Linked DNA regions of Rattus norvegicus. The protein of the gene in region 1 interacts with the protein of each later gene in a biochemical or structural test. Links are inferred from orthologs where the notes say so. Each region holds a gene or a part of one and is shown in the gene's direction. Other genes may lie near its edges.

Region 1 (6,521 bases):
GACTTTGGAATGGGTACTAGGTTACTTAAGACAGTGAAGGAACTGGGGGCCTGCATGACCTTTGATATATAATATGCACCTCACTCAGGTAGCCATATGTCCCTTCTGCCAGAGGCAAGGGAAATGACTCCTTGAGGCAGAGTGGAACCAGCTTCACAAGTTCCTGAGGAATGCTGGTTTTCTCTAACTGCCAGAAATCCTCCTATCCAGGTAGAGCTCACTTCTGGCTATTTGGACTGCCTTTTCCAGTTTATTGGTATTTCATTTGGACCTGACAGATAGGAATGTCAGGAGTTCAAGGCCAACCTCAGCTACATAAAGCCAGTCTAGGTTGCATGTGTCCTGTTTTAGCAACAAACAAAAATAAGAGATCATGGGAGATTATGGGTCAATAAATGAAGATAAAGGGATGGATTTAGGAGATGAGTTATAGGCATGACTGACAGGATTTGGTGATAGGTTTGATAGGATATTTAAGGGAGAAGCTGTCAAGGATTCTGATTTATATAAGTAGATTACATACAGAGATGTGCTTTATTTTCATTTTGCTTAAGGCAGGGTCTGGCTATTTTGTCTAGGCTTATAGCAATTGTCCTAACTCAGGTTCCTGGACACCCAAGGTCTGGGATCGTAGGTGTGTACCACAATAACCATAGCTTCAGAAATAGCTTTTTAAAAAGATTTATTTTGTATTTATGTGTATGTGTCCTGTGTGAATTTATGTACATGCAGGTACACTCAGAATTCTGAATCCTGGAACTAAGAGTAGCCAGTTGTGAATTGCCTAACATGGGTGCTGAGAACTGAACCCAGGTCCTCCCTAAGAGCATTAAATATTCTCTTAACAACTAAGCCATCATCTCTCCAGGCTCTCAAATACCTCAAATAGCTTTTCTTTAGAAAACCAGTCTTCTTTAGTATTTGATTAAATGACAAACTGATCTTAGGTTCCACCCATCTCTACCCAAACTTGCTATTTCTACTAGAAACTATACAAGTCCTGTTTGCTAGAGGAAAAATATAACCTAATTTTCATTGTCTTATAAAATAGAAAAGGAGCTGGAGAGAGATGGTTCAGTAATTAAGAACACTGCCTGCTTCGCGACCATCTATCACTCCAAGTCTAGAGGACCCAATGCCTTCTTCTGGCCTTTGAACCTTAAAATAATCCACAGAGAATTCTGATTTTTTTTTTAAATTACATAAGGGCCAAGAATGTAGCTCAGTTGATAGAGTGTTTACCTAGCTAGCATGCATAAAGTCTTGGGTTAGATGCCCAGCACTGTCAAAAAATAAACTGGCCTGGTGTGGTGGCTGCCACTCATCTATGATTATTATGGTACAATACCAGCACTCAGAAGATGGAAACAGGAGAGTCAGGAGTTCAAGACCATGCACAGTGAATTTGAAGCCCACCTGGGTTACTCAATAGCCTGTTAACAAATAATTCTAGACACTTCAATTTTTTTTCTCTGCACTTGCCAGAAACTCATCATTTAACTTTAGCAGCATCCTTCTGAGTTGTGGCATTCCCACCCAGGCCTCTCAGGTACCCATTCCTACACTATAGGCAATGGCTATAAAGCTGAAAACTAAGGATGAGCCTATCCATCCCCACATCCTTCCATCTCATCCCTAAGTTGGTACAGCTCAGGCCCGCCACGAAACGTGCGGGAGTCACAGAACACTCCAGGCTAACTTCGCCCAACCCAGGGGCTCGTGGTCAAGTTCCCAACAGATGGCTTATTTTCCAGACAATTCCACAAACGCTGCCAGAGTCGGGAAGCTCCTCTCGGAAGCATTTCCCACCCACCAACCAGCTCAGCCGCCGCCCCGCGGCTTGGGGGGGAAGGGGCGTGACGCCGCGGGAACTCCCGCGTGACGTCACGGGATGCCGGAGGCCTCCGGGGCCGGGCGGGGCCGGCCGCCCTCCGGCCAGCCTTCGGGAGGTTCTGGCCGTCCTCTCCGTGGGTTCGGCCGCCTGGAGAGGTAGGGCACTCGGCGAGAAGTGGGCAGTAACGAACGGCGGGGCCTTCCCGGCCCGGAGGACGGATCCCGAAGACTCTGAAGGGAGGCTCGGAAGCTGTGAGTAAAAGGACTCTCCTTCCTACCCTGCGTGCAGGGTCCAAGCAGCTACTTCCGGTTGGACGCCGCGCTTTCGCAGTGGCTCAGGCGGCCGAGACGCGTGAAGCACCGGCCGACGTAGTCTGGGCTCGGGCCGGTCCGAAGGACGCGGGCCGGGCTCACGTTCCAAGCAGTCTACCGGGCTCCCGCGCACTTCGAGACGCGCCCCTCAGCGCTGAGCCCGCCCCGCGCATGCGCCAAGTGCGCAGCGCGCTCTTTTCGCGTAGCGTTTGAAGTGTCTTCCGTCTGACCCGGGAAGCGCTGGGAACTCGAGGGGCATCTGAGGCTGATGGAGACCCGGTGGGAGTGAGGGCCGCGGCGAGTGTGCATTTTGCTTGTGAGAGGGACGCTGAATGTCCTGTGCGTTTCCCTTGTGTGGTGTGACAGTCTAGTTTTACCGAGCGTCTTCGCGTGGAGGTTGTCGATGCTGTGGATACACGGAAAAGGATCGTCACTAGCCTTTGTGTCCACAGAGACCCGGGAGACAAGATGAGTGTTGTGAGAGAGAAGGGCTCAGTGCGCAGCGAATAACGGTTCAGAGCAAAAAGATTGGCTGCAAAGTGCTGAGCGAGCGTACTAGATGGAAAGGATGCTGTGAGCCGAAATTTGCAAACATGGTATTGATAGTTTTTACTGTAGCCGTTTTCAAAAGCACTTGAACAGTCGTGGTGGCTCCGGTAGACGAAAGCGGATTTTTCAGAGTTCCAGCCCAGCTTGGTCTACATAGAGAGTTCCAGGTCAGCCAGGGCTAAGTAGTGAGATCTGTTTCAAAACAACAAAAGCTCTGGATTATTTTAACTACTTTGTCATTGATGCATTTTTCTAAAGGATACTTCGAATGCACTGCTAGTTTTAACTCAGCTTTAAGTTTTCCATTAAAGTAATTAAACCTTTAAACTTTTCTTCCTTTTTTTTTTTTTTAAATTTTGGGGGTGGGGGGATAGGGGTCAGTAGGGTGATGGGTTTTGTTTCTGAAGACAAGATTGCTCTGTGTAGCCCTAGCTGGCCCTGAACTCGCTTCGTAGACCAGGCTGAGCTCGAACTCAGAGAGTGCGCTACCACTGCCTGGCATACTTTTTTTTTCTTGCTACTCGGAAGTATAGTTTAGGGTTCAAATCCTAGCCCCGAAGTAGCCACGCCCTAGCTGTATTACCTTGAGCAGGTCATTTAATCTGTTATAATGGCATGCCCAACTCTACACTGAAATTAGTAATTGTACCTCTTTCTAGAGTTCTGATATGGCTAATAAAAGTCTATTCCATATGCTGTTGTACATAAAGGCAGTCTCTTGTTGGCCGTAGTGTATCTTTTACACACAGGCTTGTGAAGCAAAACTGTATTAGTTCTCATCTTACTTTTAGGGAGAGACAGCAGTATTGATCCCCTCATATACCCATTCATCACTCAGCTTCAATAATTGTCTAAGTGAGCTGTTCTTGTTTCGTCTTTCCACCCACATCAGTTTTCAAACCAATCCCAGAGAACGGTAGTTTATCTCACAATATTCCTGTAATAGACAAAGCCTTTTTAATGGAAAAAGAAAAATGGGGTTGGAGATATATCCTAGCATGCCTGGATTCTTTTCAGGGTGCATAAGAAATTTTTTTTTAAGTTTAAATAGTCTCATCACTATTGCATCCAAGAGGACTAACAATAACTTGGCGTACCCAAGAAAGTTAATAAGATTATTTTAAAGCTACTTATGCTCGATTTTTGCTGATTCTTTTAGGAGCACCTAACTGCAATTTTTGTAACACTTAGTAAATGTATGTATCATTTCTGTAGTGCTTTACCAAGATCCAAGTAGTTGCATACATTCTTTTCCTTAAAAAGTTAACTTTTAGGCTAGTATACAAAGTAATGGGTTTCAGTTTAGACTTATTTTTATTTTGTGTGTATGAGTGATTTGCCTGCATGTATGTCTTTGCCTGCATATATCTATATCTATATCTATATCTATATATCATGTATACCTTAGTGCCTATAGAGGTTAGAGAAGAGTGTGTCAGGTCAGTTTCTAGAACTAGAGTTATAGAAGATTGTGGATTCTAAAACTTGAAGTTCAGTCCTTTGAAAAAGCAGCCAATGCTCTTAAACACTAAGCCATTTCTCCAGCCCCAGAAGTTGTTTTGTGTTTTTACAGAGTCTGTGCATCCCAGACTGGCCTCAGACTCTCTGTGTAGCTGGAGAATAGAGCTCCTGATCCTCCTGCCTCTACCTAAGGACTAGGGTTATAGGCATTCACCACTGTGCTCAGTTTGTGGGTGCTGGGGATGGAACCCAGAGCCTTATGAGTGCTAGGTACATGCTTTACCAACTGAGCCAAATCTCCAGGCTCTTTATAAACCCTGCCCTTCTCTCTTCCCTCCTTTCTCTTCTGCTTTCTCCCATCATTTTTCTGTGTAGCCTAGGTTGGCCTTTAGCTTGCAGCAGTCTCTCTCAGCCTCCGTAGTGCTGAGATTCAGGCATGCGTCACCATGCCCAACATTTTACTTTTGTAATGGCTAATTAATGGTTTCAGTTAAGAACACATTTTAAAATGTGTATTAAATCACTTGAGTTTCTTAATAGACTGTTGCTTCTTTTTAGGGGCCACATAATTTTTAAAGTTAATCATTAACTGTTACTATGAAAGAATCACAACATACCTCTACCCTAATAGCTTTGGACCTCTGAATAGACATATGTTCTTAGAGCTTTGCTGCATGTGTATCTTGGTGACTTGTTCTCAGAAATATACATGTGTTGATATGTCAACCATCTACCTGGTTTTAAAGCATGTATATGGGAATGATTGTAAAGTCAGTAATATTTTAGAATGTTTCTAGTTCTGGTTCAGTACAGTGTTGGATTTCACATCACTCCAAAACTTAAGGCAGTAATTTTTAAGTGCTAGGGATTGCACCCAAGGCCTTGGACTTGCTCAGCAAGCACTCCTTTCATGAGCTACATTCTCATGTACATCAGTACATGTATTTATTTACCATGTAAGTGAATATATGTGCCCTTCCCACTGGATCACACGTGGAAGTCAGAAGCCACCTTGTTAGAATCAGTTCGTACCCTTCTTCCCCTTCCAAGGATCAAACTCTAGTTGTCAGGCTTAGTGGGCACTTTTACTTGCAGGTCCTTCCATTCCTTTTTTTTTTCCCCCTTTCTTTTTAAAGATAGGGTCTCCTTATATAGCTCAGGCTGACCTTGAACTTGAGATCTCCCACCTCTGGACTGCTGTGATTATACATGTGCCAGCATAGGCTGCCCAGTAAATCTTACGAGAGTAAATGAATTCTGATTGTGGATGACTGTAAACCTTTCAATATTATTAGAGCCCTTTTCACTTTAACATAATTTTGGTAATTTCTCCTTCTTCGGTGGGAAAATTGAGAACCTTCCTGAAAATTTACCTATATGAAGGTCAAATAACTGAAATCATAGTTTTCTCACTGTACACGGTCTCTCTGTGTAGCTCTCACTGGCTGTGAATTCACAGAGACCCACCTGCATCCACCTCCCAGTTCTGAGTAGAGGAGTGTACTGTGCCCTGCTCTGATTGTCATCTTTGCCAGCTTCTGTCAAACTCTCTGAATGATTGTAAACATATAGGAAAACCTGAGAATAGCTGCACTTGTGCTTTCATCCTCATCTCAGGCTTACATAAAGGTGCGTGCAAAAAAATGACATATTGCAATCCATCATTTCAGGTATTTCAACAATCCAAAGACAACGTCACACCTATGTAAGGACACAAAGGTCAGGCGAGCATCAACAAAAAGAAGTGTGGAGCCGGGTAAGCAAGATGAGCATTTCAGGAAGCAGCTGTGGAAGCCCTAATTCCACAGATATATCCAGTGACTTCAAGGAGCTCTGGACAAAACTAAAAGAATATCATGATAAGGAAGTACAAGGTACAGTCTTTGTTTAAATGCTTGAGACTATAATAGTAAAAACTAGGTTTGATTATTTTATATATTTTTACTTAGAAATATTGAGGGGCAAATGTCCCAACTTTAAAGGGCATTTACTGTTATAATGCTTTATGATTTGTTTTATTGATGAATTGTTACATTGTAACTACAAATACTACAGAATATATAGAGGGGGAGTATTGTTTTTTAAATTGGTATATGTGGGAGAGCCTGCATGAGTATTTATGTACAATGTGTGTTCAGGAGGCCATGGAGACCAAAAGAGGATTTCAGATTCCATGGAACCAGAGTTATTGGCAGTGAGCTGAACTTTGGTTCTCTGCAAGAGTATAAATGCTTTTAACTGCTGAATCATCTCTCCTGCCTCTAGAACATAATTCTCATATAACTTGTCAGTAGTTACTTGTGGAACTATGCTTTGTGGTGCTAAAAACAGAATTTATTGACTGCAGACAGATTTCAATTCTAACT
Region 2 (5,779 bases), on another chromosome or scaffold:
TTTCTATTAGACTGTCAGTCTGGGCAGGTCCTTGAGGAGCTATAGTCCACTTCCTAGGCAGTTGGCTCAGACTGGGCTTTGAGGGCTTGCTTCGTAACCTTAGAGGATTTGTTGGCATGGGCATTGCTCGCCACAGTGGTGATTCTTAAAAAATATGGTGTTCAAGCCAGGGAATGGGAAAAGTAGAAGCTTGCCAACACCTTTAAAGTAGCAGTAAGTCCATTACCTGCTACAAGAAGTAACACTTTGATGTGAGAAAAGCTACTTTGCGAGTCCAAGCTGAAGCACAGTTAGATTGTTGCTGTTTGTCCACCTCTGTTGCCTGGTGATAGGAATAGCTAGGGACAGGGTCCATAGAGCTCAAGGAGGGAGTATGCAAATGCACACCTGTGCCCTTGCAGATCCCATCTTGAAGGCTGGGTCCATCTAATCTCAGCACCTTTACTTTTACGTTTATGAAGGCATAGATGGATCTAGCTATGGGTCAGGCACATTGACCCTGGGAAGGGTTCTGTATAGCAACACCTCTATCCCACAGCTGGAGATCTTGGGCTTAGTGTTGTCTAGAAGGTAACTCCATTGTCTCTGGGTGGTCGGTGAGACCTGTGTCAGCCCAGGTACCCAGGTCCAAGCCTGGGAACACATAGAGCCTTGCTGTACATGGGTGTGACAGTCCCTAGAGCATTGTCTTTATGTGACATGGATTCTTTGAGGCACTTCTTGGCACTGGAAGTTTGGGGTAGCCTCTGTAACTGAAGGCGAGAAAGGTGAGTGTGGACTGCACAGGCTGCTGCTAGTCAGCAACTACTGCGGGCTCCCTCTGGCCTGCTCAGCACAAGACTGTGGTGACTTGTTTCTTGTCCTCCACTTCTCACTGTGCCTTGGTCAGCTTTTGGAAGGGCTGGACAAAGTCCTGCCTTGTGCTGTGCTACCTGCTACCATGGACCTACCTTTAGCCTCCTTAAGGTGTCTGCTGCCCAGCTGGAGGTGGCCAGACAGTACCTGGGAAATCCTTGCTCCTGTATTTGGCCCCAGGTGGGGTCTAGTTTAGTGTGTCATGTTGGGAACAAACTGATTTTGTATCCACAAAGGCTTTGATGGAGCTAGGAATCAGACCCAGGGCCTCACACCCACTAGACAGATGCTCCTGAGTTGCACTCCAGGCCTAAGGTTCTTTCTCACCTTGATCTGGGAGGAGGGATCTGAGAGTGTCATTACCCCTGCTTGCCCCCCTTTTTTTCTTCACTGTCTTCACTGTTTTTAGCCTTTGAAATCTACACTAGGAATGATATTAATTAAGGTCATATGCAAAACATCACTCTGTGGTCACTTTGTGGGGTTCTGGGCAGTCACATGGTGGTTTTAGGCATCAAAGAGCAACCAGGCACTTTCCTGAATCGAATCATTTTGTGATCTGCACATTCCTGTGTTGACAAGACAGCCTATGGCTGTAGGGAGTCAGGGTGGAGGTGCCTCCTACCTCCCCTGACCTCCTGTCTACCACAGCCTCCCTAGGGTCTACAAGGATTTTAGGTCCTATGCCCTTGAGGGATTGATGGACTGAGTCTACTCAGTCATCAGTAAGCTATAGAAAACTATTTTCTCCTTCTCAGTTTTAATTTGCTTTTTACAAAGCCCCCATGTAACCCCATGTAACTCAGGTGCTGAGTACAGCAAGTCCTCAGGGCTGATCTTTCCAACTCGAGTGGGTAGTACTGCCCTCAGGTCACAGACTGGAGCTGCCAAGGGCATTAAGTAGTCTGCTCCTCTCTTGCAGGCGTCCGACCTCCCATCATGAACGGGCCCATGCACCCCCGGCCCCTGGTGGCGCTGCTGGATGGCCGGGACTGCACAGTGGAGATGCCTATCCTGAAGGATGTGGCCACAGTAGCCTTCTGTGATGCGCAGTCCACACAGGAGATCCATGAGAAGGTAGTGTCATATGCACCTAGTAATAGTTGGCTAATCTTTATGGGGGTGTAGGGGACTCCAGAGCCTGAGCCAGGCAACCTCAGGCTGCAGTCTGAGTCAGCACACAGCCTGTTCCTTGGCCTCTGGCCACAGTGGGTCTGAATACCACCTGGTCTTGTGTGGCCTGTCCCTGTGCCTGGCCTGGTCAGGAGGTGTAGAGATGGCTTACTCTGTAGCTTCTTGACATATATCATAGCCAGTTCATTGGAAGCGGAACTGTGGGCACCTGGCAGTGATTGTGCTTGATGCTACCTGGCATACAGAAAAAAGGACCGATATCCTCACCCAGTGCCTGCCTAGAGCTTGTGGTCGGGTGGTTAGCAGCTCTGAGCAGCTTCTGTGATTCATGTTTGCTCAGATATGCTGTGTTTCTTTGTTACCTGGAATGTATTCATTTAGTTTCTGCTTGTATCAAAGTTAATTCATACTTTGTATTGAAGACAGCTTGAAAATGTTCTTAAAACAGTCTAAAGAGCTTCAGGAGCTGACAGGGATTGAAACCACAAGGGACCTGGCACCTGCTGATATGGATGGTCTGCATGGTTAGCCTGAGACTTGCTTCACTGGGAAGACCGGTGAGCTCTGTTCTTGCCAGCACTATGGCCTCAAAGGCTGGGTGCAGATGTTGCCTCAAACCCAGAGGGCAGTGAAACCCATATCTGAACTTATTTTCACATAGCCTACTACTCAGCCTTCTAAGTCTGCCAGGTATGGGATTTAGCATGTAGTGAACCTACAGCCTTGCTTCCCAGTGGCTGCAGAGTATCTGGGACAGTCATTTCAGTCTGAGCCCAGTGCATGTCTGTAGTCCTTGGGTACTTGTCACTTCTGTATAGACAATCAGTTATAAGAAGGTAAGACTCTGTGAGTAGAATAGAGCTTCTGATCTACGGGAGACCCAGTCTGACTACGGGATGGACTGCCTTCCGCCAAGAGAAAAACTGAGATTGTCATGTTGAAGGTCATGAGGTAGATGTGAAGGAACAAAGTTGAAAACACAGGGCTTCAAGACACTAAAGCTAAAAGTAAAAATTATCACTTAGGGCATAGAAGCAAGCAAGCAAGCAGAGGTCAGAAGTCTTGATTCTTAGGCCTTGGGGGAAGAGTGGCAAATAGGAGGGGAGTAGGAGCAAGGAGCAGGTAAGTTAATGAGACACAGGGCTCAGGGGGAGCTGCTGTACAGACTGAGAATACAGTGGTAGATGGATTCCCCACACAACAGGAAACTGTGAATTAAGGACCTTGAGCCTGTAGCATGGCGTGGGCAGTAGTCAGTGTACTCTATACTGTTACACACCCTTATAGCATGCCAGCAACCATACTGGGGGCCACTGTCCTAGCAGACATGACCTGCATTCAAGTCATACCTTACCTGATTCACAGTAGCCAAACTGGACACCACTCAGTGTCCTGTGGTGACATGCTGGGCAGTGTATCCTGCCACAGATTCTGGCCCAGGCAAGGTATGACCACAGGCACATAGCACCTGGCGTACATGTCACTGAGGGAAATCACCTTTCCTCTTTCTGCTGGCTGGAAATTGGGTGTGATGGCTGAAGCTTGGGCAGAAACCTTGTACTCTAAGAGGTAAGGGATATACAGAGAATGGCACAGCCACAAGACAGGAGAATGGTACCCAAATAACTGAAAATGCAATAGGGCATGTGGAATCACACCTGTCTCTAGGTGTGGAAAGGAGAGAATTGTCTTATATATCTTTGCTGTATGATAATTTCCACCTTTTTAGAGCAAAAAGTCCTCACAACTGGCTGGGTGTGGCTGTCTGCAATGCACATGAGCACCTTAAGTGTCAGTGAAGCACATGACGAAGAAAACTTTACAGAGACCTTGGCTCTTCTGACGTGGATCCAGGAGGAGTATTAAAGGGACTGTGGATGTGAGAAAGTCACCTTGTGGCAGAAATCTCAGAGCATCCCTGGGCTGTACAACTTGTCAGCCAAATGATCTTTAGCCCAGGGCTGTATGGAGCCCAGGAGGAACCCAGGGACACGGCTCTCAGCATGTGCTAAGTGAGGACTTAGGGGAGTAGATGTCTCCGAAGGGATCCTGTGGAGATGGGAGAATGACGCTCTATGACCCATGGGTAGAGAACACCCCAGGCTAGAGGAAGTCTCTTACACCTAAGATGCTCAAAAAAAAAAAAGTGGGCAGAAGTGTTTAATATGACCAGCAGGCTGCAATATGACCTTGGGCTCAAGCTGTAGACACATCTGGAATCAGGACAGACGTTGAGAGGAGAGGGTTTCACTGTGTGCAGGAGTCCATTGCCACAGGTCACCAGGGCCCGAGACTCTGAGACCCATTGCTTATGCTTTGATGGAACAAAGCAGGGAACCAAGGGACGTGTGTGGCCCTCAGGTATTTGGGCAAAGTGCTGTTGAACTAAGATCCAGGCCTGGGATGGTTTCTGGTTGGATGGCAGCAGTTGGAAGAGCAGGAGACTTAATGCAACTTCAGAAGGAATCTGTAGGTATTCCAAATACTCAGAGGGAAAGTCAGCAGCAGTAAGATTCAGCGAGGTCAAGCGAGCCCTTTGTGCCCTGGCCCAAGGGCACCACATGTGAGGTCTTCATGCTCTCCCAGTCGGAAAAGGAGTCCTTGCAGAGAGCTGGCCAGAGAAGTACTGCTTATGTTAACCACTGAGCAAGTCCCTTTCTGGCCCCATGAAAACTCAAAATTCACACGGTAGGAGACCTGGATGCCACTTCCTTCTGTGGAGCAGGACAGCTGCAAGGACCCCAGGTGTCTGTGAAGTTGGATAGTCTGCAGCTTGACTGTGTCAGCAGGAAAATATCTGGCGTGATGGTGAGGTGGGAAGAGCTGCAGTTTCATATGATAGCTGTTGCTGTTCATACCAGGTGATAAAACCATGCCGGTTGGTTTGGAGTTTCAGTGTTCTCTCAGCAGGAGGTTGCCCTGACCATGAAACCTCGTGGTTTGGGGCATATGCTTCGTTCAGAACTTGTTGCCACTGGGTGCACTCAGGACCCATTTCCAGCCAAAGATAGCTGACCTACATTAGTCATTCATCGTATGTTCTGCCTGCTTTGAACATCTGGGACCCAGATTCTTCCATTCTGGTGTTGAGGACCAAGTCCACTAGGGTCCGATCTCTAACCTGGTTACACAGCTGATGGATGAGGAGATTGAGCTGCTTGCAAAGGATAGTTTCTTGGAGGCCTATCCTAAGTGGACAGACCCAGAAGCACCCATAGAAGAGGTACAGGCTGGGTGTTGGTGGTGACCTGGGCTGTAGACCTCTGCCCACTGTCTAGCAAGCTCACCCCTAGTATGCTTTTGTCCTGCATCTGGGCACAGGTGACTTCATACTAAGTACAAAAAAAAGACACCATGAAAAAAAAATTCAGAGAGAAACATAGGCAGATTTCACCCAGGAAGGCAAATTCATGCACCAGTAGTAGATGAACAAACAGTAGGGTGTATTTTAGTTGCAGAAAACCCAGGGTTGATATCAGCATGTCAGTTGGCAGTTGGACAACAGTGCCTAGAGCCTCAAAGGACCTTCCATTTCTAAGAAATTAATACAAGGAAATGAATTCACTAGCTTTTATCAAGGAAGAGTATCACTGGTAGCACTCAGTGCAGTAGGAAGTTCAGATTCTTTGATTCCCCCTTCCCTGTTGGTACGTTCTGCAGTGCGTTGAAATATACTTTTGAAAGCCGGTAGTCTCATGGTTAAGTGCTGAGGGTAAAAAGCAGGCATGGTGACACATACACAACATAGGTATCTAGCGTATGTATCTGTCCTGTCCACAGTCAACCCTTT
Region 3 (5,231 bases), on another chromosome or scaffold:
AGGGTATAGCTTGCCTCCTTATGTTGGGCTTTACCATTTATTATCCTTTGTAGTGCTGGATTTGTAGAAAGATATTGTGTAAATTTGGTTTTGTCATGGAATATCTTGGTTTCTCCATCTATGTTAATTGAGAGTTTTGCAGGATACAGTAACCTGGGCTGGCATTTGTGTTCTCTTAGGGTCTGTATGACATCAGTCCAGGATCTTCTGGCCTTCATAGTTTCTGGCGAGAAGACTGGTGTGATTCTGATAGGTCTGCCTTTATATGTTACTTGACCTTTTTCCCTTACTGCTTTTAATATTCTTTCTTTATTTTGTGCGTTTGGTGTTTTGACAATTATGTGATGGGAGGTGTTTCTTTTCTGGTCCAATCTATTTGGAGTTCTGTAGGTTCTTGTATGTCTATGGGTATCTCTTTTTTTAGGTTAGGGAAGTTTTCTTCTATGATTTTGTTGAAGATATTTATTGGTCCTTTGAGCTGGGAGTCTTTACTCTCTTCTATACCTATTATCCTTAGGTTTGATCTTCTCATTGAGTCCTGGATTTCCTGTATGTTTTTGACCAGTAGCTTTTTCCGCTTTACATTATCTTTGATAGTTGAGTCAATGATTTCTATGGAATCTTCTGCTCCTGAGATTCTTCCATCTCTTGTATTCTGTTGGTGAAGCTTGTATCTACAGCTCCTTGTCTCTTCTTTTGGTTTTCTATATCCAGGTTTGTTTCCATGTGTTCTTTCTTGATTGCTTCTATTTCCATTTTTAATTCCTTCAACTGTTTGATTGTGTTTTCCTGGAATTCTTTCAGGGATTTTTGTGTCTCCTCTCTATGGGCTTCTACTTGTTTATTTATGTTTTCCTGGAATTCTTTCAGGGATTTTTGCGATTCTTTCAGGCATTTTTGCGATTCCTCTCTGTAGGCTTCTACTTGTTCTCTAAGGGAGTTCTTCACGTCTTTCTTGAAGTCCTCCAGCATCATGATCAAATATGATTTTGAAACTTGATCTTGCTTTTCTGGTGCTTTTCCATGTTTGTTTTGGTGGGAGAATTGGGCTCTGATGATGCCATGTAGTCTTGGTTTCTGTTGCTTGGGTTCCTGCGCTTGCCTCTCGCCATCAGATTATCTCTAGTGTTACTTTGTTCTGCTATTTCTGACAGTGTCTAGACTGTCCTATAAGCCTGTGTGTCAGGAGTGCTGTAGACCTGTTTTCCTCTCTTTCAGTCAGTTATGGGGACAGAGTGTTCTGCTTTCGGGTGTGTAGTTTTTCCTCTCTACAGGTCTTCAGCTGTTCCTGTGGGCCTGTGTCTTGAGTTCACCAGGCAGGTCACTTACAGCAGAAAAGTTGGTCTTACCTGTGGTCCTGAGGCTCAAGTTCGCTCACGGGGTGCTGCCCTCGGGCTGTCTGTGGCGGCAGCAACCAGGAAGATCTGCGCCGCCCTTTCCGGGAGCTTCAGTGCATCAGGGTTCCAGATGGCCTTTGGTGTTTTCCTCTGGCGTGTGGATGTGCACAGAGTGCAGTCTCTTCTGGTTTCCCAGGCTTGTCTGCCTCTCTGAAGGTTTAGCTCTCCCTCCCACGGGATTTGGGTGCAGAGAACTGTTTATCCGGTCTGTTTCCTTCAGGTTCCAGCGGTGTCTCAGGCAGGGGTTCTGCCGCTCCTGGGCCCTCCCCCATGGGAGCCCAGAGGCCTTATACAGTTTCCTCTTGGGCCAGGGATGTGGGCAGGGGTGGGCAGTGTTGGTGGTCTCTTCCGCTCTGCAGCCTCAGGAGTGCCCACCTGACCAGGCGGTTAGGTCTCTCTCTCACGGGGTCTGGGAGCAGAGAGCTATATATGTGATTCTAAATGCAAGTTATAAGACCAATTACAATGAGAAAACTTTGTAGAAAACAAAGTAGATAATTTGGCTAGGAAATACAATTTTAGCAAAGGATTCTGTCCAATAATATCTGGATCATTTTAGTAGGCATTAATAGTTTAATTTCTGTTTATGTTTTATCTTTTGGTTGAATTTGTTTATTTGTATTCCTAGGTTAAAACATCAGAATTTTATAGATACTCCCGACAGCTGCGGTATGAAGTTGACCAAGCATTGAATTACTTCCAAAATGTTCACCAGCAACCCTTGTTGGACATGAAATCAAGCCGTATTCGTTCTGCCAAACCCCAAACTACAGTATTCCGAGGAATGATTGGACATAGCATGGTTAATAGTAAAATACTCCTGTTAAAGAAACCAAGAGTCTGGTGGGAACTGGAGGGCCCCCAAGTACCTCTAAGACCAGACTGCCTTGCCATTGTCAATAATTTTGTGTTCCTGCTAGGTGGCGAAGAGCTGGGCCCCGATGGAGAATTCCATGCCTCTTCGAAAGTGTTCAGGTATGATCCAAGACAAAATTCTTGGCTGCGTATGGCAGACATGTCTGTACCACGTTCAGAATTTGCTGTTGGTGTCATTGGGAAGTTTATTTATGCTGTAGCAGGCAGAACAAGAGATGAAACTTTCTACTCAACAGAAAGATACGATATCACTAACGATAAATGGGAATTCGTAGATCCTTATCCAGTTAACAAATATGGACATGAGGGGACAGTGCTCAATAACAAGTTGTTTATCACTGGAGGAATCACTTCATCTTCCACATCTAAACAGGTGTGTGTATTTGACCCCAGTAAAGAAGGGACCATAGAACAGCGGACCAGGAGAACTCAAGTGGTTACCAACTGCTGGGAGAATAAAAGCAAGATGAATTATGCTAGATGCTTTCACAAGATGATCTCTTATAATGGCAAGCTTTATGTCTTTGGTGGTGTCTGTGTGATCTTGAGGGCCTCTTTTGAATCTCAGGGCTGCCCTTCCACAGAGGTGTATAACCCAGATACTGATCAATGGACCATCTTGGCATCTATGCCAATTGGTAGAAGTGGTCACGGTGTGACTGTGCTGGACAAACAAATCATGGTCCTTGGGGGCCTTTGTTATAATGGTCATTACAGTGATTCCATTCTCACCTTTGACCCAGATGAAAATAAGTGGAAAGAAGATGAGTACCCTCGGATGCCCTGCAAGCTGGATGGTTTACAGGTGTGCAACCTCCATTTTCCGGACTATGTACTGGATGAGGTTAGGCGTTGCAACTGATGACATCTTTCTCCCTAAAAGGAAAAAGGCAAATAAAGCATTTGTGATACAGTAGTTTAAAAGCATAAAGAAAAACCTCACCAGTTTTACTATCAAAGCCATTGGTCTAATATTGTAAGTTTTCATTCTGTGCTAGCATCTTTCCTTTCAGTGGCCTCAAACTCATGCAATAAGTTCCTTTGAAGCACTAGCTCTTGAAACTACTTCCAAAGCAGTTTATACATACACTGCTCCACTTACCCGGGAAGTTGATCCTTCTGCTTTAAATATTTCTTTCAGATGTTAGTGTAGGATTTGTGCATCTTCTAAGAGAAGACCCAGTAAGTGTCACTGGATTTGATTTCAGTCCCTCTGTTTGAACTCTTTGGAAATTATTTTAGTCTGCTATATGTTTTGGTTTATTATTTAAAAGTTTAAAACTCTTGACCTTTTTGCATGGCTTTTTGCTGAAAATGCAAAAATTTAAATTTTTTACAAAAGTTTTTTATATCAGAACACTATTTCTAAGCTGCCTTCTCTTATGTGCATTGCGTTAGTGAAAGCATACCCATACTCATATACATCCTAGAAATATATAAGGCACACTCCTTTTATGCGTGGTTAGGATTCTATATTTTTAAGCTAGTGCTCTTGCACAGACAGTTCGCCATACTTGTTGAAATTTAGATGTAATGTCTTTAATGTATTAATGTTTTTAGAAAGTTAAAATAACTGGAGTCCTCATTTGGTATCAAAGTAGTCTATCCTCTGTCCGTACTGGTTCAGTAAAATTTGAACTCATAGTTCTGAAACATGTATGGATTTACAAAAGCTAACGTTTGGCATTTTGTTTTCAAAACTAAGCATTAATGTTTCATGTCAATGTATGCCTTTTCTTGTTTAAAAATGTTTTTCTTTGCAGTCTGTTTAATGTTGGTTGCCCCTTTTTAGTGAGAATCTGAGTGGTCTGTGTCAAGCTCTGACCCTGCATCATACAAGCACTTTTAAAGGAAAGTTAGGTAATACCACACACTCCTAAGTTAAAGCCCCTTAAGAGGAAGTGAAACCCCCATTGTTTCCCTCCAGGCTGCTGCAGGTGTTGAATGTGGGCCAGCAACTCTTACACAGTCAATTTGAGCTCAGTTTTGACTGAGAGGTAAGGGACGAGTTATATTACTGCTTATATTATATCTGCTTGATCAGTTTGTACAAAATATTCGTTGGCACTAGAGAGATATCAACCCTCAATGTGGGTTGTTTTTTGTTTTTCTTTTTTCTTGTTTCTTTTCCTTTTTTTTTTTTTTTTTGTAGTTTCTGGAAGCTACTAGCATGAAGGATAGGTCACCGGAAAGTTTGGAATGAATCTCAAATAGCTGTTTTAAAGGCATTTATAATAAGTGGTTTAGGATTAGCTGCACATTTCAACTCTTTAAATTCGAAGGAAGGAAATAGAGCTGAAAAAATTAAGAATGATCTGTGAATGGATCATTCAAATTGATACCATTGACGCCATTTTCTCATGAGCAGTCTGTATGTGATTAAAGCTTACACTGGCTTAGCTTGCCAGATCTGTGATTTTGGTGCAATATTGCAATGCCTTCTATATGGCTGCTGATGTATACATTTTTCTAGTTAGTTTGTTTTGTTTTATTTTTGCTGCTGGCACCATTGACTATAAAATGGAAGTGTGAAATCATGGAAATGTGAAGACTTTGGGTTCTTCTTCTCCCTTTCCCTCCACACTGCAGTCCATTGTGTGAGTAAAGCCTGATTTTCAAAACTGTAAAACCAGAGGAGTTTGAGTTTTAGAAAGTGTCAGGTACACAAGTAGCTTTTAAAAAGGAAAACCCCCTTTTCCCCTTCAGGAATCAAAACAATGGCTTCTTCTTTTACATATGATTCTTCCATTTTCATTAGGTGGTCTTTCATTTATTTCTGATTTCTGAAAATAAAATTTGATATTTGAGTTTCCCTTAGAATGTAGGTAAAAAGTTTTTTATTTTAAAAATAAGTTTATTTTGTTTTTGGAAACTATAAATTAGGTCAGCCATCTTATTTTTTAATATACTTAGAAGTTTGTATGTGTTGCTTTAAATAAAATAATGTCTTCATTATTT

What was found.
Region 2: the proteins of Rbbp8 (region 1) and Ctbp1 form a complex in vitro, tested with the Homo sapiens proteins (3 studies listed by BioGRID and IntAct). The link is inferred for Rattus norvegicus from reciprocal best matches to the Homo sapiens genes RBBP8 and CTBP1.
Region 3: the proteins of Rbbp8 (region 1) and Klhl15 form a complex in vitro, tested with the Homo sapiens proteins (2 studies listed by BioGRID, with this or other methods). The link is inferred for Rattus norvegicus from reciprocal best matches to the Homo sapiens genes RBBP8 and KLHL15.

What each region holds. Positions count from the first base shown.
Region 1 is NC_086036.1:3,195,911-3,202,431, forward strand, and holds the start of Rbbp8 (DNA endonuclease RBBP8), read left to right. Parts: upstream 1-2,574; 5' UTR 2,575-2,741; intron 2,742-5,825; coding exon of another isoform or gene 5,826-5,920; coding exon 5,921-6,029; intron 6,030-6,521. UniProt on the Homo sapiens protein: Endonuclease that cooperates with the MRE11-RAD50-NBN (MRN) complex in DNA-end resection, the first step of double-strand break (DSB) repair through the homologous recombination (HR) pathway.
Region 2 is NC_086032.1:81,685,850-81,691,628, forward strand, and holds part of Ctbp1 (C-terminal-binding protein 1), read left to right. Parts: intron 1-1,777; coding exon 1,778-1,932; intron 1,933-5,779. UniProt on the Homo sapiens protein: Corepressor targeting diverse transcription regulators such as GLIS2 or BCL6. Has dehydrogenase activity. Involved in controlling the equilibrium between tubular and stacked structures in the Golgi complex.
Region 3 is NC_086039.1:63,036,645-63,041,875, forward strand, and holds the end of Klhl15 (kelch-like protein 15), read left to right. Parts: intron 1-2,025; coding exon 2,026-3,135; 3' UTR 3,136-3,198; downstream 3,199-5,231. UniProt on the Homo sapiens protein: Substrate-specific adapter for CUL3 E3 ubiquitin-protein ligase complex.